Drosophila melanogaster: one gene and its partners. The protein of the gene in region 3 interacts with the protein of the main gene of each other region in a pairwise test. Each region holds a gene or a part of one and is shown on either strand. Other genes may lie near its edges.

The links.
Region 1: the proteins of tbrd-1 (region 3) and can interact in a two-hybrid assay, tested with the Drosophila melanogaster proteins (one study listed by BioGRID).
Region 2: the proteins of tbrd-1 (region 3) and tbrd-3 interact in a two-hybrid assay, tested with the Drosophila melanogaster proteins (one study listed by BioGRID).

Annotation. Positions count from the first base shown.
Region 1 is NT_037436.4:10,261,551-10,268,912, reverse strand, and holds can (cannonball), read left to right. Parts: upstream 1-1,801; 5' UTR 1,802-1,847; coding exon 1,848-1,886; intron 1,887-1,960; coding exon 1,961-2,252; intron 2,253-2,306; coding exon 2,307-2,367; intron 2,368-2,433; coding exon 2,434-2,586; intron 2,587-2,642; coding exon 2,643-4,926; 3' UTR 4,927-5,004; downstream 5,005-7,362.
Region 2 is NT_033778.4:23,324,381-23,329,115, forward strand, and holds tbrd-3 (testis-specifically expressed bromodomain containing protein-3), read right to left. Parts: upstream 3,202-4,735; 5' UTR 3,177-3,201; coding exon 2,370-3,176; 3' UTR 2,359-2,369; downstream 1-2,358. Other genes in the region: CG9861 (uncharacterized protein), read left to right, coding at 1-543, 597-680, 753-824, 881-2,023, 2,082-2,333.
Region 3 is NT_033777.3:23,891,097-23,898,796, reverse strand, and holds tbrd-1 (testis-specifically expressed bromodomain containing protein-1), read left to right. Parts: upstream 1-5,236; 5' UTR 5,237-5,446; intron 5,447-5,507; 5' UTR 5,508-5,544; coding exon 5,545-7,086; 3' UTR 7,087-7,200; downstream 7,201-7,700. Other genes in the region: sba (six-banded), read left to right, coding at 1-1,390, 1,451-1,544, 1,606-1,734, 2,189-2,588, 3,300-3,789.

The DNA.
Region 1 (7,362 bases), on a different chromosome or scaffold from region 3:
TTCCGGGCATAAATCACACAAGATAATTTGCATAAGTTGGCAGGCCAGAGCGAAATCAGCAGCAGCTAAAAATGTTTATGGCCTTTTCGCTTGCCACGCCCCCTTTTCGACTTTTGCACCCCGCCCCTGTGGAAAATTCCCTAATCAAATTAGCAACAGTTAAGCGGAAGTGCGAAAATCCGCAAGCTGCATTGTTTGTTGTGTGTTTACTTTTGGCTTTGTTGCAATTTGGGATTTCGGTGTGTGTGTGCGGTGCATTTATTTTGATTTGATTGTTGGCCTCACTCAGCGGGGCTTTCGCACTCGCAAATTTGCATTTTTGGATAATTTTTGCATTTCGGATTTTGCATTCTGGCATTCGAGTATTTGCATTTGAATGTTCGCGTGCGTTGCATGAATCATTCATGTTCGAGTTTCTGTTTCTGATTCAGATTCTGGTGGTGCTGCTGCTGTTGCGGCTGGTGATGATTCAAGTATCGATTTGCATTGATTTGCATTTCAATTGCAGCTTTTCGACACTTTACAATGGATTATGCTGCAGTGTGATTTATCTATGGCCAGCATTACATATCAAGTGATTTGGCAATTGTTGCTGTCCATAATGAGGCTTTGTTTGCCATTGTGTTCGCCTCTAACTGTTGGCCCTTGACTATTGACACACATACCCATCCATGAATACCAATTGCCAATATTCCTAGTTTTTAATGCAGTTTTTTTTTTTATTTTATTTAAAGCACTTAAAGTGTGCATCCCCGTGCGCGCCATAAATCATGGCGAAAATTACAAAACAATATGCAGCTACATTTTCTGCTTCTGCTGCGGGTTGTCCTGTCGCCGGCTTTTTGTATATCCATTTTTTACGCACGTCTTTTTTATTTTATGTGCCCTGCAAAATGAGTTGCCAGCGCCGCCGACATATTGCCCGAACTGCGGAAGAATTCCAAACGCATCCGCGGGTTTTGGTCCGCCAGCATACTCGCACAATTCCACTGACAAGTGAGTGGTGAAAAGAAGTATCAAAACATAAAATTATTTTTAGAGCCGAATGAAAAATACTCTGTTAAAAAATATTCCAAATTATTTAGATAGTTGTGTAACCCTGTTGGTCATTAAGAATTTACAATAGACTGACAAACTTTCACCTTCAAGGTAAAACGATTTTACCTTTGTGAGCAGATCTTTGGGCGGAAAATTAAAAACACCCAATATACATATAGGGTATAACGTAAAATTAAAAGAGGTCCCTGAAATGGACAGTGGCATGGGAAACCTCTGCGTAGCAACAAATCCGTCGAGTATTGGGTATGCAAATTAATTTTTTTTTACCTATGGACCAGTCGTTCAGCCCCTCCACCACCCCTCGCTTTTTAAGGACACCCTGGATTCCAGCGCCCTCATGTGATGTGCTGCTGAGCCAGCATTTTGTTTCAGATCAGCGGTAGTCGCCGTGTCATGTTGGGTAAAATTTGTGAAAAAAAATGGATAAATCGAATAGAGGGAATGTATTTGAAAACATAATATCAACCACAAAAGTTGAGCTGGCCATGCCATAAAGACCATTTGAAAAGTTATAAGGTGTTGTAATATAAATTAACAATTAAGAAAGAAATATATATATATATTGGGAAATACATTTTGTTTGTTAGAAACAATGTACAATATATCCAAAAAAAAAAGTTTTAACGTCATAAAACAAAATCAGATTTTGGCTTTTTGGCAAAATGGGCTTCAAAAATACGGCCACACAATGCGCAGCTGTCAAATCGAAAACTTGTCAAGTCAAGGAAAATATTCACTTATTGCACTAGGGCTGATTTGGATTGTTCAAATATTTAAGAGCAATAAAGATGGATTTACCATTGCCAATACTAATACCATCTAGTGATGTGAGTAAGAATATGTATGCGCTTTCTAACAACTGGTTAAAATAAGTATCCAAACTCTTCATGCGCTCAATCAGGAAGTGTACGTTATTTCCGATTCGGATGATTCCGATTCCGATGATATCAGAAATGAGCTTATGAAACTGGAGGATAACAAGGATAAACCCAAAAACAAGGAACGCCAAAAGTCTAAGAATGAAAATAGTCAGATAAAAATGAACAAATGGTATTTGAAAGAATTCGAAGACCTTATGGGACTCGAAATTGCTTGCTCCGATGATGAAGACGATATAGATGATCGTAATAGCGAAATATGGAGCAGCTCGGAGTCCGATAAAATTAGCGATTCAGATGATTCCAACTCAGATGGTAAGTTTCCAAAAAGGAAATGCATATTAACAAAGTAAGGAACGTTATTTTCAGGATCGCCCACCGAATGGATTAACAGAATAAAGAATGTCAATCTATTTCCATTCAATAAAAGGTTAGCGATATTAACAAATATTTTCGGACTTAGTTTACACTAGAGTTTTTAATTCCTTTCCTTTAGTGCTGAAGATGAAAAACCAAAGGCTTGTGAAGAACTTCCCTCAATACCAGTTTTTACTGGTCCGATGCCATCGATGCCGATTTATGATGAAGAAACCTGTCAATTTGAAATGGTGCCACCCATCATACAACCAGACTTAATTAAGGAAGTAACGTAAGTCTTAAGTTATAATTAAGTTACTTCCACTAATTCTGGCACACGAATCGCAGTGACGCAGAAATGCCAATTGAGTTGGATAAATCCGATTCTGAGTTGGAAAAAGAAAAGTTAAAAGCCGATGAGGATGACAACTTTTCGGACAGTAACACCAGTTCCAGTTTTAGTTTGAGCAGTTTAGATGATTATGATTATGGTGAAACTGATCTTGATGAACAGCATAACGAGAATAAATGTACTTACTGGGAGGAAATGTCATTGCGTCCCGTTGACAAGGGCGAAGTTTCACAAGAAGAACTAATGGCTATTTTGAATGAAGACGAGAGTTCCCCAGATCATCGAAGTGAATGTGATATCGACGAAGCCATTAGGACCCGTGATGGCTCAGATTTTTACGAAGATAGTGCTCAGTTTCTGGAAAACATGGAAAATGTTAGCTTGTTGGTTATCAAAGAGGATTCGGTTTTTGCGGATTATGAATTCGCGGTAAAGAAACTTATTAAACTGATCCAATCGACACCAAGTCACTACAAATACGAGATATATATTCTGTTATATCCCTTGTTGGTCCTAACTTATCTCCAAATGATGGCCAGTGATAAGATACAGAAAGCTAGGATGCTTCTTGTTCGCTTTCAAGATCATCTCGACGATTCATATATATCAAGAATTATAAAGCTAAGAGAAATTTCCAAGCCAGCAGAAGTTCCGAATAAAGCACGCAAATTATTGGCTGGCCTTGAAAAGGTGAAGATTGAAATGTCTGAGGGAGCTTTTCGACAGTTACTTCTTTGCACAGAGGAATGGACTAGAGGTCAGCAAGAAAAATTGCTGAGCCATTTTCAAATACAGCCTTATAGTGAAGATGACAAGCCCCAGCAACGATTTGCCATAGGACAGCCTCTTTTGGAGCCGATATGGTATGGTGCTCCAGAACCCTTGCACAAAAAGGACTTTGCCGCTCGTCCTTTTTTTCAAAAACGTCGCAAGAAAAGGAGCGAACCACAGTTATCAGATAATTTACATTTGCCACCGGTAAATAGGGTTTACAATCCGATTCCCAACAAAATGGATTTGCTTCACATGAAGAGTGATGAACAGTATCGAATGAAATTAGATCGGAATAACCTGCCATCGACTTACTTGTACACAACTTCTCCCTCCGATGAGGTCGTGATTTGTGCCACCTTCTCGGAAGGCAATAGCATGTTGGCACTGGGAACTGTATCCTCTAAGGTATATGTTTTCTCTCTGAAACCCTCTAAATTGGTTCAAGTGAAAGCTGCACAGTGGCTAAAAAATCTGGATACCGGAATGGCTGGGGTTGATAAGGATATGATAGATCCCATTAAGAAGTTCACCAGACGTACTCTGTACGGACATCAAGGACCTGTCTATGGTTGTTCCTTTAATCCAGAGGATCGCTTTCTGATCACATGTTCCGAGGATTTCAGCGTTCGCTTGTGGTGCCTTCTGTCCTGGAGTTGTGTGGTTATTTTTTCCGGCCATTTGGCACCGGTTTGCTTTGTTGTTTTTGCACCAAGGGGTTATTATTTCGCCACCGCATCGGATGATTGTACGGCGAGAGTTTGGATGCAGGATAATACGAAACCCGCCCGAATTCTTCAAGGACATCTGGCCGAGCTCGGGGTGTGCCTATTTCATCCAAATCGTCACTATATGGCCACTGGATCTGCTGATTGCACTGTTAGGATCTGGGATATTGTCAAGGCTGTTCAAGTGCGCATTTTTCGTGGTCATAAAAGCAGGATAACCGCCTTGATCTACTCAATTTGCGGTCGTTATTTGGTTTCTGGAGGCGATGACAATCTCATCATGATTTGGGACACAGCCAATGAGATTTTGATGCAGTTCTTTGACCATCATAAGGCCTCGATTAATACCATGGAAATCTCTTTGGATAATAACATATTGGTTGTGGGTGGACAGGATTGCCAGCTGACCTTGTGGGACTTTGAGCAGGTGATTAAGAATTACTTGAACAGGGCCAAGATAAGTATGAAAAACCAGGCGGGAACTCAAGAATCGAGTGCCAATAATTTGCTGGTCAGCTCATTTTTCACCAAGGGAGAACCATTTTATATGATCCGCTTTACACGTCGCAATCTCTTACTTGGTTTCTGTGTGACTCCTCGAGAATTTGAGAATGATGTCCTCGACGTGAAGCTTAATCAGAACAAGCACAAGGAGGAGAAGAAAAAGGAACTCGGCGAATGGCTGGATTTTCTAGACACCATCAAATTGAAGGCTTGTTACGATCTGAAGGACGAAATTAATTTGGATACTTCGCAGGTAGAGAAGGAGAACAAATCTTAATTATTGTAAGCTCTCTCTTAAGTATTTAAATAAAAAACTGTAAATAAATGTATATAAACCATCGAAAGTTTCAAATAGAACGATTGCGTTTTGTAATTCACAAAAATAATGCTTACCCGCAAAATTATTTTTAAAGCAGGGTTGTTTCATGTTATTTATGGAATAATATTGGAGATAAACATTTCGTATGACAAATATACAAGATTTTCTGAAGCAGAGACAAACCCCCAGAGCGAAGGAGAATGCTGCAGTAACAACAATTTGACAGTTTCGAAAAAAAAAAAAACAGGTCAGGCCACGTGTACAGCTGCCCACGACTCATTCCTCCTTGAAAAAAATCCACTCCTCCTGCAGGAGATTTCTTCGTGGTCCTCACATTTACAAAAGGCGTGCAAAATTTATAGAGGCACGCATTAAAAAATCCGCCAGGCACGCTCGACTAACTGCGTCCAAACGCCCATGGGGCTGGCAGTTGAGCTTCGAATTGGTCCCGGCCGACCGCAGTCCGATGTCCCTCGTCCTGCGTCCTTCGTCCTTCGTCCTGTCCCGCATCCACGAAAAAACCCCCCTTAAGAATAAGCGACAGGACAATATATTTACGCAACTTCTTATGCTGCCGCTTTAGCCGGTGGTTGTTGTCCTTCTCTTTCGGCTTCGAAAACAGAACTCAAGTGTTGTCGTTGTCCTTGCTGCCCATGTACGCTCCCTTGGCAACCAAAATGCCCCAGCCCCACCACCTCTACGCCACTGCAGCATCTTGCGTCTCGTTTGTAGCAGTTATCTTGTGGGTCCTGCTGCGCGAAATGAAATTGTTTACTCCACTGTCATATGCACGTGAGCCAAGCGATGTGGCTGGCATATCCGGAAATGCACAGAGAAAAATAGCTGAAATATACTATTTAAAAATATATTACAACACTTATGTTCTTTGTCATAAGGAAAAAAACTTTTTATAAAATCAATAAAACTTAAAAACTATTTTTAAAAGGCTTACATCGATAAATTTAAATATATTTAACATATGTTATTGGTTTCTTTTCCGTGATTATAAGTTATTGATTACCTCAGTCTCTTGGGTATAGTATTATTTTTTTTCCGTGTATCCTTGCGGCATCGTTCTGGTGGGCTATCAAAAAATGAGAATTCTTTCGCTTCGTTTTCTTTTCCTTTGCTTTTTTGGGGGAAAATTCAACGTAATAATTCTTTTCCGCTCGGATGGTATGCGGGGCGTGGCGGTGGGCGGCAGAGGTACAGTCCGTTTCAGCCCCGTAATTGTGCGCAATTTCGCCTGGACATGTTTTCTGTTCGCTGCTCCTTCGACTCTGTCTTTATCTTCTGCCATATCTTTGGTTCACCGCCATTTTCTTTTCTGCACACATGCAAAAAAAAAGAAAAAAAAAACCTCCACATTTACACACATGTTTTATGTCCTTTAAGAATCAGACCCACCCAGCCGCCTTCTTTTATTTGCACATTTTTCATGGGGCTTATTAAGGGACTATGAAAAAATAAACAGCACAGTCCATTTAACCGATTTGCACGATGGGAAGTGGAGAGAAAATCCCCGGGAGCTGGGCAGAGCAGCGCATAAAATAAATATTTATAATCATAACAATGTCCTGGCTGGTTTCGAACCAATCTTAGCCTGATGATGAGCAAACAAACCCAAAATCTGAAGGACTGCGGGCTGACAAGATCCTCGCAAAGGTAACAAAAATATGCAAAATTAAATTGAGGCTATTATATCAAATATTTCAGTTTTAGTAAAATTTGAATATTTTCACAATCGATTGGCTTGAAATAAACAGTTCTCGCAGTGGCAAAGGGCAAGTTTAGGTAAATTTAAAAATTCTTATTTGATTGCAACATAACTTTACTTGCAACCTTTTATGACGCGCCATAAGCGACCCCTTCCTTTGCACTCATTAAACTTAAACCGCGTATTAGCAGGCCGTTAAATACAGGATGTGTGTGCGTTTGGAGTCGGTTGTTAAATATGATAAATGCGGCGGATTGTATTACAATTGGATTTAGGGCAGCGCCAAAGACAATAAATTAAATGGCGGACACACACCGATAATTTCAAGTGTGTGCCGCCAAAAAGGCAGCGATGCAAAAGCCAAGTGCCACAAAACCCATAATTACGCAGTTCGGGCAGAGGACCCTCGATGTTAGCCAAAATTTATATTTATACAAATTCCAACTCCGGTAGTTCGCTTCGATTGGGGAGTGCTGCCAGTGGAACGTGTTTCCAGAGCAATTACCCCACGAACCGCACTCCGCATTATTACGGCCAACGTGGCTCCGCAATTATGTCGTCCAATTAATATCAACGCAGCGGGAGTTGAGAGCCACGTTCGAATCGAGTGGCCAGTAGAATGGGTAAGGGGCCACCGACTGCATTTTATGCATAAGCTATTTATGAAATTTATTGTC
Region 2 (4,735 bases), on a different chromosome or scaffold from region 3:
GAGCCTTGGTATGCGCTGTACCGACTGAATCCCGGCCAGCGACTGATCAAGAAAACCCTCTCCGAGACCCTGGAGCGTTACTTTAAATTGGCAGCAGTTGAGGGGAAGCAGGATGCGGAGGAAACCCAACAAAGTCGGGAGCCCGAAGCCAACATGTGCTTGGTGCACAAGGGTCAGGTGTTGCAGGCCCAGCTCCTGAGGGATGAACTGGCGGTCAAGGCGAGGGATCGCTGCCTGGAACTCCTCGATGTGAACGAGCCATACGCCAAGCTTCGAAAGGCCAGAATCGTGGCCCAGTTGGAGCACGACATCGACGTAATAATGGCCCGCCACCGAAACGCGATGCACTGCGACCAGACCAAGGTGCTGACCATCGAGAATTTTGACTGCGTGCTGTGCCAGCAGATGCTGGTATCGCAACCCTGGCCGGAAACCAAGGGTCAGATTGGTCGGGCTCTGGTGGGCGAGGATTGTACCGTGGCTCATACTACTGCATTCGATACTTACCGCGGAAAAAGGCTGGAGGGTGGTGCGGAAAAGCCGGTAAGTTGAGAATTATCAAATACATACATTCTATACCTAATATCCAATTAAAGAAAAAAAAGGATGGCACAGTAGCCCGTACCAGTGGAATCGATACTTGTCGCGGAAAAAGGCTGGAGGGAGGTGCAGAGAAGACGGTATGTTTGAAATTACCAAATATATTTACATTTTCCATACCCACTTTTATTTTTCTATTGAACAAAATTAAGGATTCCACAGTACCCCAACCGCCTGCAGAAAAGGGCCGCGGAAAGAGGCTAAAGGGTGGTGGAGGAAAGCCGGTGAGTGGAAAATTACCAAATAGATTAACTTTCATTACAATCTTTCTGTATTGAAGAAAAAAGACAAGAAGGGGAAAAAGGAGAAAAAGGCTAAAGTAGTGGAACCGGAACCAGAAAATCCGAAGAAGCCGAAGGTATCGCCCTGGAAGCCACCGCCTCGCAAACTCGTTAGCGGCCCCTTCCGTATCCACAACATCGACTTCAACGAGTACACACAGGTGTGTACGCAAGTAGTTGGTCCTTCGGAGTGCGAGCTTCCTCCGGCTCCCAAAAAGTCGGCCGTATCTTTTATCCTGGCCAAGGGAAAGATCGAAGGGAATGCACACAAGTGCGATATGCGCATGCCCAATAACAGGCATGTGAAAACTAGGTTCTTCCGGGGACCCCGTTCGAACAAGCCGTACCAGTTCAAATACCATCGGGTCTTCCAATCCGGCCAACCGAAACCCTTTGATCTCAGTCATATTATGGCCAAGTCTTTTGTGAAGGCGCTGGATCAGTCGGATGGGGACGAAGCCGATCCGTGTTACTTTAGGGAGCTTTTGTCGGAGATGGTGATTGAGGACGAGGCGCCTCCGGATTCCAAGTCTGAAGGCCTTCCCGAAACCGAGCCGGAGAAGAAATCGAAGCAGGACAGCCAGCCCCCGTTGGAAATCTTTAGTGACCTGGATCAGACTAGAATCTCCGACAGTCGAGAGACCTTGGATCGTTCGAGCAACCACAGTGGTCGCAGCCATGTGAACTACAAGGCGGAGATCGTGGATGCAGTAGTGAGATGTGCCAAGGCGGTTTGGCAGAAGCGTACCCTAATAAAGCGGGCCGAGATGGAGCGCATGGGCAGAATGACGCCGCGCAAGGCACTGACCCATAAGGATACGGAATCATTCGATCCGAACGATGCCGCCCAGATGGACAAGTTGCTAAAGGATGGCATGCGAGTACTCAGGAAGGAGCCCCGCTATGTGCTGGCCTGTCTGCCAGACGCCCACAAGCTGCCAGTGCTGCGGGAGTGGGTCAAGAGGAGGTACGGCAAAACCTACAGCCAGAAGGAGCTCGAGGAGAGTATAGCCGAGTCGAGCAGGATATTCGAGCTGGTCACCATCCTCCAGAGCAGTCCCGCCAGTCCCGATCTTATGGGCATTGATCGCCTGCCCAGATCCAAGGAGAACTTTAACTTCTATAAGCAGATTAAGAATACGGTATATATATATATATATATGTACATATATTTTACTATACTAAAACTATATTTTTCAGGCTGCCCTGGCTAAGCAAACATATCACGATCAGTTGAATGCCCGCTACCTAAGCATCGTGAGCTCCGCCTGGTACGCCATGGGCAACTATCTGGTGCCCGGAGGACCTCCTCGGAAGACCTTTTTCGCTTACATAGCTTCCAATCCGCTGGAGATCATGCGTAACAAGACGTGGAATGGGGATTTCCGGAACTACCGCTCCATGCGCGACAAGAGAAAGGAGCAGGAGAAGCTTTTGGGCAAAAAGGACTAGATTACAATAAATTAAAACTCTTTTTCAATCTGAAACTCAATTATATTTGGGCTTGGTGCGGGCCACTCTTTTGCCGGTGAACCCCTTGCTGGCCAAATAATCACGGATGCCGCGTTTGGTGTGCACCTTCAGTTTGCAGATGTCGAACTCCAGCTCCTTGTTGCAGTACTCGGCGCCCTCCATGCGTTGAATGAAATGGATGACGTGGAGCAGCACCTCGCCGTCCAGCTGCTGAATCTTGGCGTGCAGATCAAGGTCCTCCTCGGTTGTAAAGGGCTCCTGCTGCTCCGAAGTTTCCAAAGTTGCCGGCGGAGTCCAATCGGGGGTCGGAGTACATTCGGTGGTTGGAGTACATGAGGGGGGCGCACCCATTATGGAGGGGGACACCTCCGAGCCGTTCACCTCGTCCTCCGGCGATGATGAGTCCGATTCATCCGAGGAGCTCTCTTCCTCGGCACGCACTTTACTGCCGCTGGAGCAGATGTAGAGCTGCACCTGGGAGTACATCTCCTCAAAGATGATCTGCAGCTGTTTGGCCATGTGGTAGCACAGGTGATCGGGATTCGTGTACAGATAGGTGTTGTAGAAAATCAGCCTTATGTCTTTGGCGAAATCCGCGGCACTGAGATAGCAACCCGTATTCAAACGATGCCTCACGGTGGACAGATCCATGGGTTCCCGGACAATCTCATGGTAATCGTGGAGGCCCAGCAGTTGCGGATCCAGTGGCTCGTAGAAAACCCAAGCAATATTCTTATAGGTACTGGAAAACAACCTTTTAATAATCACCTTGCAGGCATTAATTTCCGGCGAGGACCGTTCAGTTTCTTGTTTTGCAGCCATTTCAGAAAAATATCTTCGATATCGACTATCGGAAAATTCTATTATAATTTCTATCGTTTTGACAACTTGAACGCAATACAACTGACAATATTCACACTCCGGGTTGCCCTGTACGATGATATTTTTAGCTTATGAAAACTTTTAGGATTGCCACCTCAATCCGAGCAGAAAAGTCAATCCACAAATGCGGTTTGGGGCAACAAACAAATTCAGTTAATTATGCAAGTGGCTCCGGCCAGGAAAGTATTTCCATACATTTTGTGTGGGAGTGCGGTCCTTTGTGGGAATGCTCTGCCTCAATCCTGAAGCTATGATGGTTAATCTAATTCCGAGACCCGTACAAACAGTCCTTTTTTCGGTAAACGTATTTAAAATCCCCATCGAGCTGTGGGGGCGAAAATATTTATGGTCAACCGCTGACGTTTGCTATTTTAGAGTGCCGAAATATTTCGTTAGCATAAAAGTTTTGTTAGGACACACAATATACATCATTTTTGGGCAAATATTTGCAGGGCTTTCATTTGGGCAGTCAACAAGTTGGGTTTACAAAAGTTAAATCGAAATCCTGTTTAAAGTCACTCTGTTAAGTTGGCTTCCACAGGCATGAGGGGAAATCCTGTTCCTGTGGCTCTCTCCCTCTGTTAGCTTGCGATCCACAACTGAGAGCAACCGATTTACGGAGACCTTCATTTTCTCGCTGTTAACTTACCTGCCACAAAATGTTGCAAATTGGGTGGCAATCGGACCAGGTCTTGGCCACATCTTGGGGCGCCTCTTCAGTCTGCTGTTGGGCCTTTGGGGGAATGGTCCTGCGAATGGGTCAATTGGGATTGCACTCCACTGACCCACTTGCGAATGGGGATTCACCTCTGGGCATCATCTGGTTCGGATGTTGACCTTCAACCCCAAGTTTGGAGACTTTACACATAGAGTTTGCGAAACCGAAAGAAAAAGAGATTAATCTTCAAAGTATATTTAAAATATATATAATCAAAAATACCAAATAACAATATAGATAAAGTTATACCCTATATCTGTCATATATCCACTTTTTCGCAAGATCATTCGCTTTGGAGGCATCTAGACCTAGAATAAATTGATATGAGTGATATTTTTATGCATATGTGTAGCTGAGAGCCCTTAGCACACGATTCCCTTTGATCTTGTCGATATGTCAGCGGGGCAGAACTTTACTTCGCATTTCACGGCAAACATTCCGCTCTCTATTGCCGATTTCCAGATAAAAATCTTGTTCGTTTTTCACATAAGTAAAACTGCGACACTCAATCAGTTGGCAGATGAAATTATACACCCAGAGACTGGGCCAGGTGCTAAAAGGATCGCCAGGGGGACGCAAAGGAAACGTGTGAGGCTGTCAGTGGCAAGCACATCCCTTTCCCCCAAACCCACTTGCCTCGCACCTGCGAACGAATCCCTACCTGGCCATCCCGCATCCCATTGGAACCGGGCAATATATGGATAAATATAAAAAAAAGGGCGGCAATATGAAAGCCCTGCAGAAATGGAAAGAAGGGAAGAACCAGCAGACGAGGACGCCG
Region 3 (7,700 bases):
GATGACCAGGAGCATAGTGACCTCCACGGCGGGAACGAGTACGATTACAGGGCGTCCTGTGGCCACCACGTTAAACAACTCGAATCCCACTGTGGCGCAGTTGCAATCCATGGCGAATGCCATGAACGGAGCAGGTGGTGGTGGACAATTGATAATGACTTCTTCGGGACAACTACTGGTCATACCGACGCCCAGCAAGCAGACAACGCAACATCATCGCCCAGGTCAGCCCGGACAAGGTGTCATCATCCAGCAACAGCAGCCGGCGGAGTTGCATCCTCAACCGGGTGGTGGTTATATCGTCAGCCAGCCCTCTCCGGTGGCGGCGGCAAGCTCCAGCAGTAGCAGCAGTACTGTGATCCTAAACTCCGGTGGAGCCAAGTTGTTGCACCACCAGATCATCACCTCGCAGGCTGGACAGATTAATCAAGCGACTTCAGGAGGATCAGGAAACCAGCCGCAAACGGTGCTGCTCAACACACTGCCCAATGGAGGTTACATCGTCCAGCAGCAGCCGCAAACGCAGTCGCCACAGCAGGCAGAACAGATCCTGGCGATGCCGCAACCGCCGCCGGCGCAAACACTTATCATCAGCTCGCCGGACACCAAGAGGAGAGCGCGGAAGCGCAAAAGTTCTGTATGCCATACACCGCCGCCAAGTGGATCGCCCGCCAAAATCATTTCGCCTCAGATCTCGCCCAGCATCCCAAACCAGGCACCAGCTCTGCTTCACCAGCAGGCAGCTGCAGCGGCGGCTGCTGCTCCTCAATTCCAGCAACAATTCCAATTGAGTCCTGGTATTCAGGGAATTGTGGTAAACAAACCTAATCCCCCTCAGCAACCACAGACGCAGCAGCTTCTGCTCCAGAATGGGCAAATCTTGCAACAGGTTAATCTCATTGGACAGCAGCTTCTCATGCCGGCCGGGTTGGTAATGGGACCAGATGCCACACTGTTACAGATCCAAAATATGCCCGCAACAAGCTTGATGACACCGCAGGGTCCCGTGATGTTGAGAACGCCATCGCCACAGAACAAACCCTCTTTCATATCCCCGAGTGCCGGAGGCCAACAGTACTTAGTGGGTGCCAATGGCCAGTTGAGTCCCATCGGTCAGATCTACTCCACGCCCATGGGTCTGGTCATGCCAACCGGTCAGCAGGGAGGTGCATCCTTTGTGCAGGCTAGTCCCACGACAACAACTATACAGATCCAACAACAGCCAGCCCCGCAGCCCACGCAGATCAGTTTGCAGCCAGCACAGGCCACCTACATGACAGAGACGGTGATGAGTCGCCAGGGAACGGCCGCCAGTCCGCCGGACACAACTACCTGTAGTCCACGAAGTCCGGAGCGGCCTTCCAGCCATCGCAGCAGCGGTAGCGATATGGTGAGTTTTTTTGAATATGTTTCTCATATTGATTTCTTCTAACCGCTTTTACTTTGGTAGGTACAATGTGTATCCAGTTCGGAGCCGGATGCAGCTGTCTCTCCCCAAAGTACTGAGAGTCGGCAGTCGCCCTCTTCAACGGACTGTGAGAGGAGTAAGTGCATCTTCTTCAAGAAGAATCCTGTTAATATTAACCAATTCTGTTTAACAACTAGGCATTTGTAAGAACAATGTGTTTACCCAGCCCAGTGGGATCTACAAGCATTCGGAGCCAAAGATCAGACGCATCCACATCACCTCACAGACGTCGGCGGAGAACGGAATTAGCCTGATGCAGGGACAAGGTATGCGCCTGGCGACATCTAACACAAACTCCACATCTGCATCCATGTCTATAACATCGTCATCGTCGGCACCACTAACCACAACTGCTCTGGCTGGTCAACGCCAGCTTATGCACCGCCAGCAGGCCGTGCACCATCACATCCCAAACATCTCCAATAGCCATCCAAACACCTTCCTTCATAGCCACAAAGTAGTTAACTTTGACTATCAGGGTAAGGACCCATCGCTGACCAGCACTAATTGCATCCACACGCTAACCCACCAACACAACACCACCCGTTTGGCGACTGCATGATCGCCTGCACCACCTACAGCACATGTACCTGCACCTTTGTTTAGTTTAGAATCTCTACCCTTCGTCTGTACTTCGCTGGGTGCTGGGATCACCATTGCCCCCGAGTAACCAAATTCGTAGTCCTAGTTTCTATGAGTGTGTGTGTGTGCCTTTCGTAGAGTCGCCCACCACAACGCAGCTGCTTTCATCAGTTCCAACCGCTCAACCAACAGTCGAGAAGACGACGGTCAGGACGCCCACGAAACGTTCGCGCCGACCGCAACGAGGGGCAGCGCGTGCGGCGCCCTCGGCGTCTGATAAAAGTTTCCCGCTGCCACCACGATCCTTTGCCATTGGGGAACTGATATGGGGTCCAGCTCGGGGCCATCCCGCCTGGCCCGGAAAGATTGTCAAGATGCCAGACGGAGTGTGCACGCCGTCGCAGCAATTCGACCACGTCTGGGTTCAGTGGTTCGGCGGCGGCGGTCGTTCGACCTCCGAGCTAATTCCGGTCAACTCATTGCAGAGTCTCTCCGAGGGTCTGGAAGCACATCACAAGGCCCAGAAGGATACGAGAAAGTGAGCATCGACTAAGGGTGGGAATTTCTGGAAGAGATCAGGAGGGGAAAATATTTATTCAAGTTCATATTTAAAACAGGCAGCATTTCAGGAAACCTTCGGCTTTAGGTGAACTCCAGACCAGCTCTGTAGTTAGTTTTTGTACGATTTTGAAAAATATTTGTTGAATTTAAATTTATAAAATTTTCCTATCTTGAAGTAATGCGTATTTATCTTAACTTTGTAGTTTATTCTTGCATATTGTATGAAAGCAAACGTTACAATTTTTGTTTTGTTTATTTTTGTATACAAAATATTTTCATTTCTTCTAGATAACTTTTTAGTTTATTTTTTGCAGTCTTTATTAAGCCTTACAACCGTAGCTACATATATTTAGAAAATTGGACACTTTATATTATTAACTATGCAATTAAGCGATAAATCGGCATTTAAATGCATTATTAATTAGTTTAATCATTGTTTACAATTTGACTTTTAATTTGCTAATTAATATTCTTGTTTCTTTTTTTTTAAATGCGCTGAACCAAATCCAAAAATTAAACCATGCCCCGCCAACCCCAACGTGTATAACTCTGTGTGTGTATGCATAATCATCATCATCGTCATGACCAACAACAACCCCACTCGAAAATGAAAAACCCAAATCCGAACCCAACCTGAAACCAACCAAAAACTCAACCACATATACACACTCACCATGCGACCACAAAGGAGCCGCAAACTGAACTCGCAGCTCGAGCGGGCCATACAAGAAGCAATGACTGAGTTGGATAACATTTCAGCCTCCTCGACACCCGCAGCCACATCCTCGTCATCCGCAACCATCTCTGCTGTTCCCGCATCAGCAGGACCAGCTGTAATTGGCGGACAACAGCAGTATCAGCAGCAGCAGCAGCAGCAACAGCAGCAGCAATCGCCCTCTTCAACGAACAACAAAATAAATGGACTCGCGCGGAGCAAGCGCCAGGCCAACACAAGTGGGGCCAGCATGGTGCTGACCACCAGTACGGCGGCCACATTGAGTGGCCTCTTCAATCAGCAGCGAGCCAAGCCCATACGCATTGCTCCGGCTCCACCGGTGGCCACAACGGGCACAGGCAACATTGGGACGATAGCAGCAGCTGGAGCTGCAGCAGCTTCAACTGGAACCGGGACAGCGACAACATCGGCCCGTTCCGAGATCCTGAAGCTGGCCAAATGACCAGCGCTGTCGACGTTATCGTCGACAGTGAGCACAGCCAGCTACACCCTCGTTATCGGGCATAAGTAGTGGGCAGCAGGAGGATACATACCGCCAGGCCATATATATAGAGTTATCCATACATATGTGACGATACGAGTATAGAGTTTAGTGTTAGGTGTCAGGCCTCAGCTTTGGAGTTTGTTGTTTTGTATTCTTTGACAGACTCCCCGCTTAGTTGCGTCGCTGGGCGGCGCGCGCCACACTTTCGAAATAGACAATAAAACAGCAAGATGATGTTAATGAAAATCAAGTTACAAAGAGCAGTTCTAACAATTAGCGATAGGTTTTTGGCTTCATAGACAGCGCCTCGGCGCAAATTTGCGTTGTTTTGTATATAGTAAGCACCAAAAGCTACCAAGATGTTTCGTATTAAGTATTTATTTATTGCATATAGATCCTTGGTTTTTATAGGTTTTGTTTTCGTTGCAATTTATAGACCTACCGATTATTTGTATAAATAGGTAACCTAAGCTGATACTTAGCCACTAAGTTTAAAGAACATCCACAACAATTACATTTGCCTTGTCAAGCAAATGATATCAAATCAAAAACAGCTACTGATTTTCATTTATTGTGATTGCACAAATTGTTTTTTAAACTCTAGAAGAACAAATTATTTATGTCAAACACAAAAAGGTAAAAATCATGAGAAAATTAGGAAGGGTGGAAAAAAATTATATTTATAAATTGTTATTATTTATTTAGTTGAAACTATTGTAAAATTATAATTGTAAAACAAAAATGAAATCACACTTAGCGGAAACACACGGAGCAAATAAAAATTTAAAAAACAAGATAACTCTTTGATTCATGGCCCGCTTGACCCAATCTCTAAAGAAATACACCCTTGTATACAAACTGGGAATGTTCGGAGTTCCACACGCGATTCCCACTGAAGTTATTCCCATGACTTGATACTAGCATCCGATCCCGATGTGACGAACCAGCAGAGGACCTCCCGAGTCACCATTGCATGTGTCCTTATGGTCCGGAGATCCAACACACAACTGGGACTCCGCCTTATAGCCTTCCGGCACATCCTCGTTTGCATCCAACCGTAACTTGTAAGTTGGTAAGTTGTACCAAAGACACTAGAATAATAGAATAGAATTATTCTAGTGTCTTTGGTTGTACTTACACATCTGAGTAGAAGCAGTGAGTAGCCGTTAAAACCACCTGATAACTTATCAAGGTGCCACCACAAAACCACTTCGTTTGATTCCCACTAGAGCTGTGATGATCCAGCCGAGCAACCATGGGAAACTTTTTTTTGGCATATCTGCGGTGGCAACAACTACCAAGGTCCCTGAAGTTGCACCTTAGAAAGGAGTATTATCACTCATACTAGACGATTGCTAGCTATCGAATGTAAGCTCACTGTGAATGTCACAAATTTTGACAGACCCAACGTAGCACAAAAAAGTCAGTGACAAAATCCGTCTGGTCATTTTTTATTTTCTACTACTCCCAACGGAGACTTACATACAATAAATGTAAATCACATCACCATAGACTCTAGTGTCAAGAGGTAATTATTAGTGTTTGACGAAAAGAAGTTCAGTAAAGTTCTGTATTCCGAGCCGAAAGGAGCTGTGAATTTTGAGTTGTTCAAAAAGTAAGCATTTGAAATAGTTCACATTCTTCCTAAATACCAAAAAAAAAAAAAACTGCTTTAGGCTAATATTAGGAGTTGGGTGACCTTACAAACCAGCAATGAATGAACTGCAGTCGAATAGCAACCAGCCTCCGCCGCGCAATGAGCCGTATCTGCAGCCGGTGAATGGCATCGTGCAACCGCCGGTGATTCCGCCACCGAATCGTCCTGGGCGAAGGACAAACATCCTAGAAGAGCTCAAGTCCGTGCTGAATTGCTTATGGCGCAATCGCTTCTCGTATCACTTTCGCCATCCCGTCGATTCTGTGAGCCTGGGTGTGCCCGACTACCATGCGGTGGTCAAGCATCCGATGGACTTGAGTACAATTAGGAAGCGACTGCACAACAAATACTACTGGCAGGCGAGCGAGGCTCTGGAGGATTTCAAGCTGATATTCGATAACTGCTTGTTGTACAATTTGGAGGGCTCACCGGTTTATCAGGCAGGGAAGCTTCTAATGGAGGCCTTTTACATGCGAATGGAGTCCATTGATTTGAGCACGGAGGTGGAACTAAAGCCGAAGTCGGAAAAGCGCAAGAGAAAGGCTACTGAATCATTGGATCAAGCCTCGACTTCGTTCTCAGCACCTCGAGCATCTAACAATTATTCTAGACAGTGGCTCTCGAGTAGTTCCTCATGGCTCTGTCCCCCACCGATGCCTGGCGGGGTGTCGTCATTTAATCCTTCATTCCGAAATTTCGTGGGTCCCAGCTTGATCCCATCTTTTATGCCCGATTCCTTGGTGAATCCCATGCAATCTATGCATCCAATGTCATCAATGATGAATCCGATATTCAAGAATAATTGGGAGACAAATGAAGCAATGGATCCACCGCCCTCAGAGCCAATTTCCTATCGTCCCTTGGATTCCTTGGCAGCACCCTTACCGTCCCCTCCAATGGAACCCATGACTTTGCCTTGGCCAACCCCAGCACCAGTTGAATCTCCAGCTTCATCGCCTCCTCCGGCTCCCAATCCACCCATTATCATCTGCTACAAGTCTCTCGACCGAATGATTGAAAAAAGCCACTCAGATCATCTTCTGAAGTCGATGGTAAAGCGAAAGCGCAAGCAGGTTACATGGGCATTTAATCAGGCTGACTACTGGCGAAGGTACTCCCAGAATCCGGACTACGACCACGATCGCGAAGAGAAACTCGATTGGAAGATACTACAGGAGCGCTTGGACTCCGATAACTTTGAGAGCTTTGATGGATTCGTGAGCTCTGTACGAAAGATGTTCCAGAACGCATTGCGTTGCTTTCCGGAAGATGGATTGGTCAAGGTTTCGGTGAAGAAAACCAATGAGATCTTTGAGAAAAGGCTGCCCAAGTACAGGGAGTTAATTGCCACGGCCAAGGAAAAGGGGCGTCAACTGGTGGCCAGCAGGGAACAAGATTTTCGTGACTCACAAAACCTGCTCATTAAACAAGAAAACGCTAATAAGAATTTCAAAGGATGGGTTCCAAAGCCATTTATTATTAAAACGGAGTCCCTGTTTGTGCAAGAACAGCGAGTGTACAAAATGGAGCCCCAGGATGTACAAGAATTTTCACCTGGTACGGAGCCGCTGGATGACCAAACTTATGATAGCGATTAAAGTGTGTAGAATTCTACCACGGAAATGAAAAAAAATGAAAATGCAAATTATTATAATTATTATTCATAAAGAATTGTTATTAGCCTAAAATATGATTCTAATTACGAGCTACCGACATTCTCATAGTTTAATTATACCTGTATTACTAGATGCGTTGAAAAGTATGGAACAGGCAGAAGGAAGCGATTGCGATCATATACATTTGTCTATACATTTTTGATCAGGATCAATAGCCGAGTCGATCTGGCCATGTCCGTCTGTATTGATCTCATTTTGCCACGCCCACACTTTTGAAAAATGCTTAGATTTTTCTTCGTGCAAAAAAAAACACTAGCCACGCGCCTCCTTTTGCTACAATACGCCCAAAACGGTCACGACTATTTTATTCCCCAGTATCTATCGATATCCCAGAAAAATGATGAAATGTTCCCTTTGGCATTCCCACTAGCTGAGTAACGGGTATCTGATAGTCGGGGAACTCGACTATACCATTTTCTATTGTTTTTAAATTCAAAATAAAACAGTCAAGCACCAAGGTGCCACCTCTCGGTTGACATTGCAACTACGCAGAGCTAAGGTGACCAGTCGTCTTGCAATCTGGCAGCCCTATAACA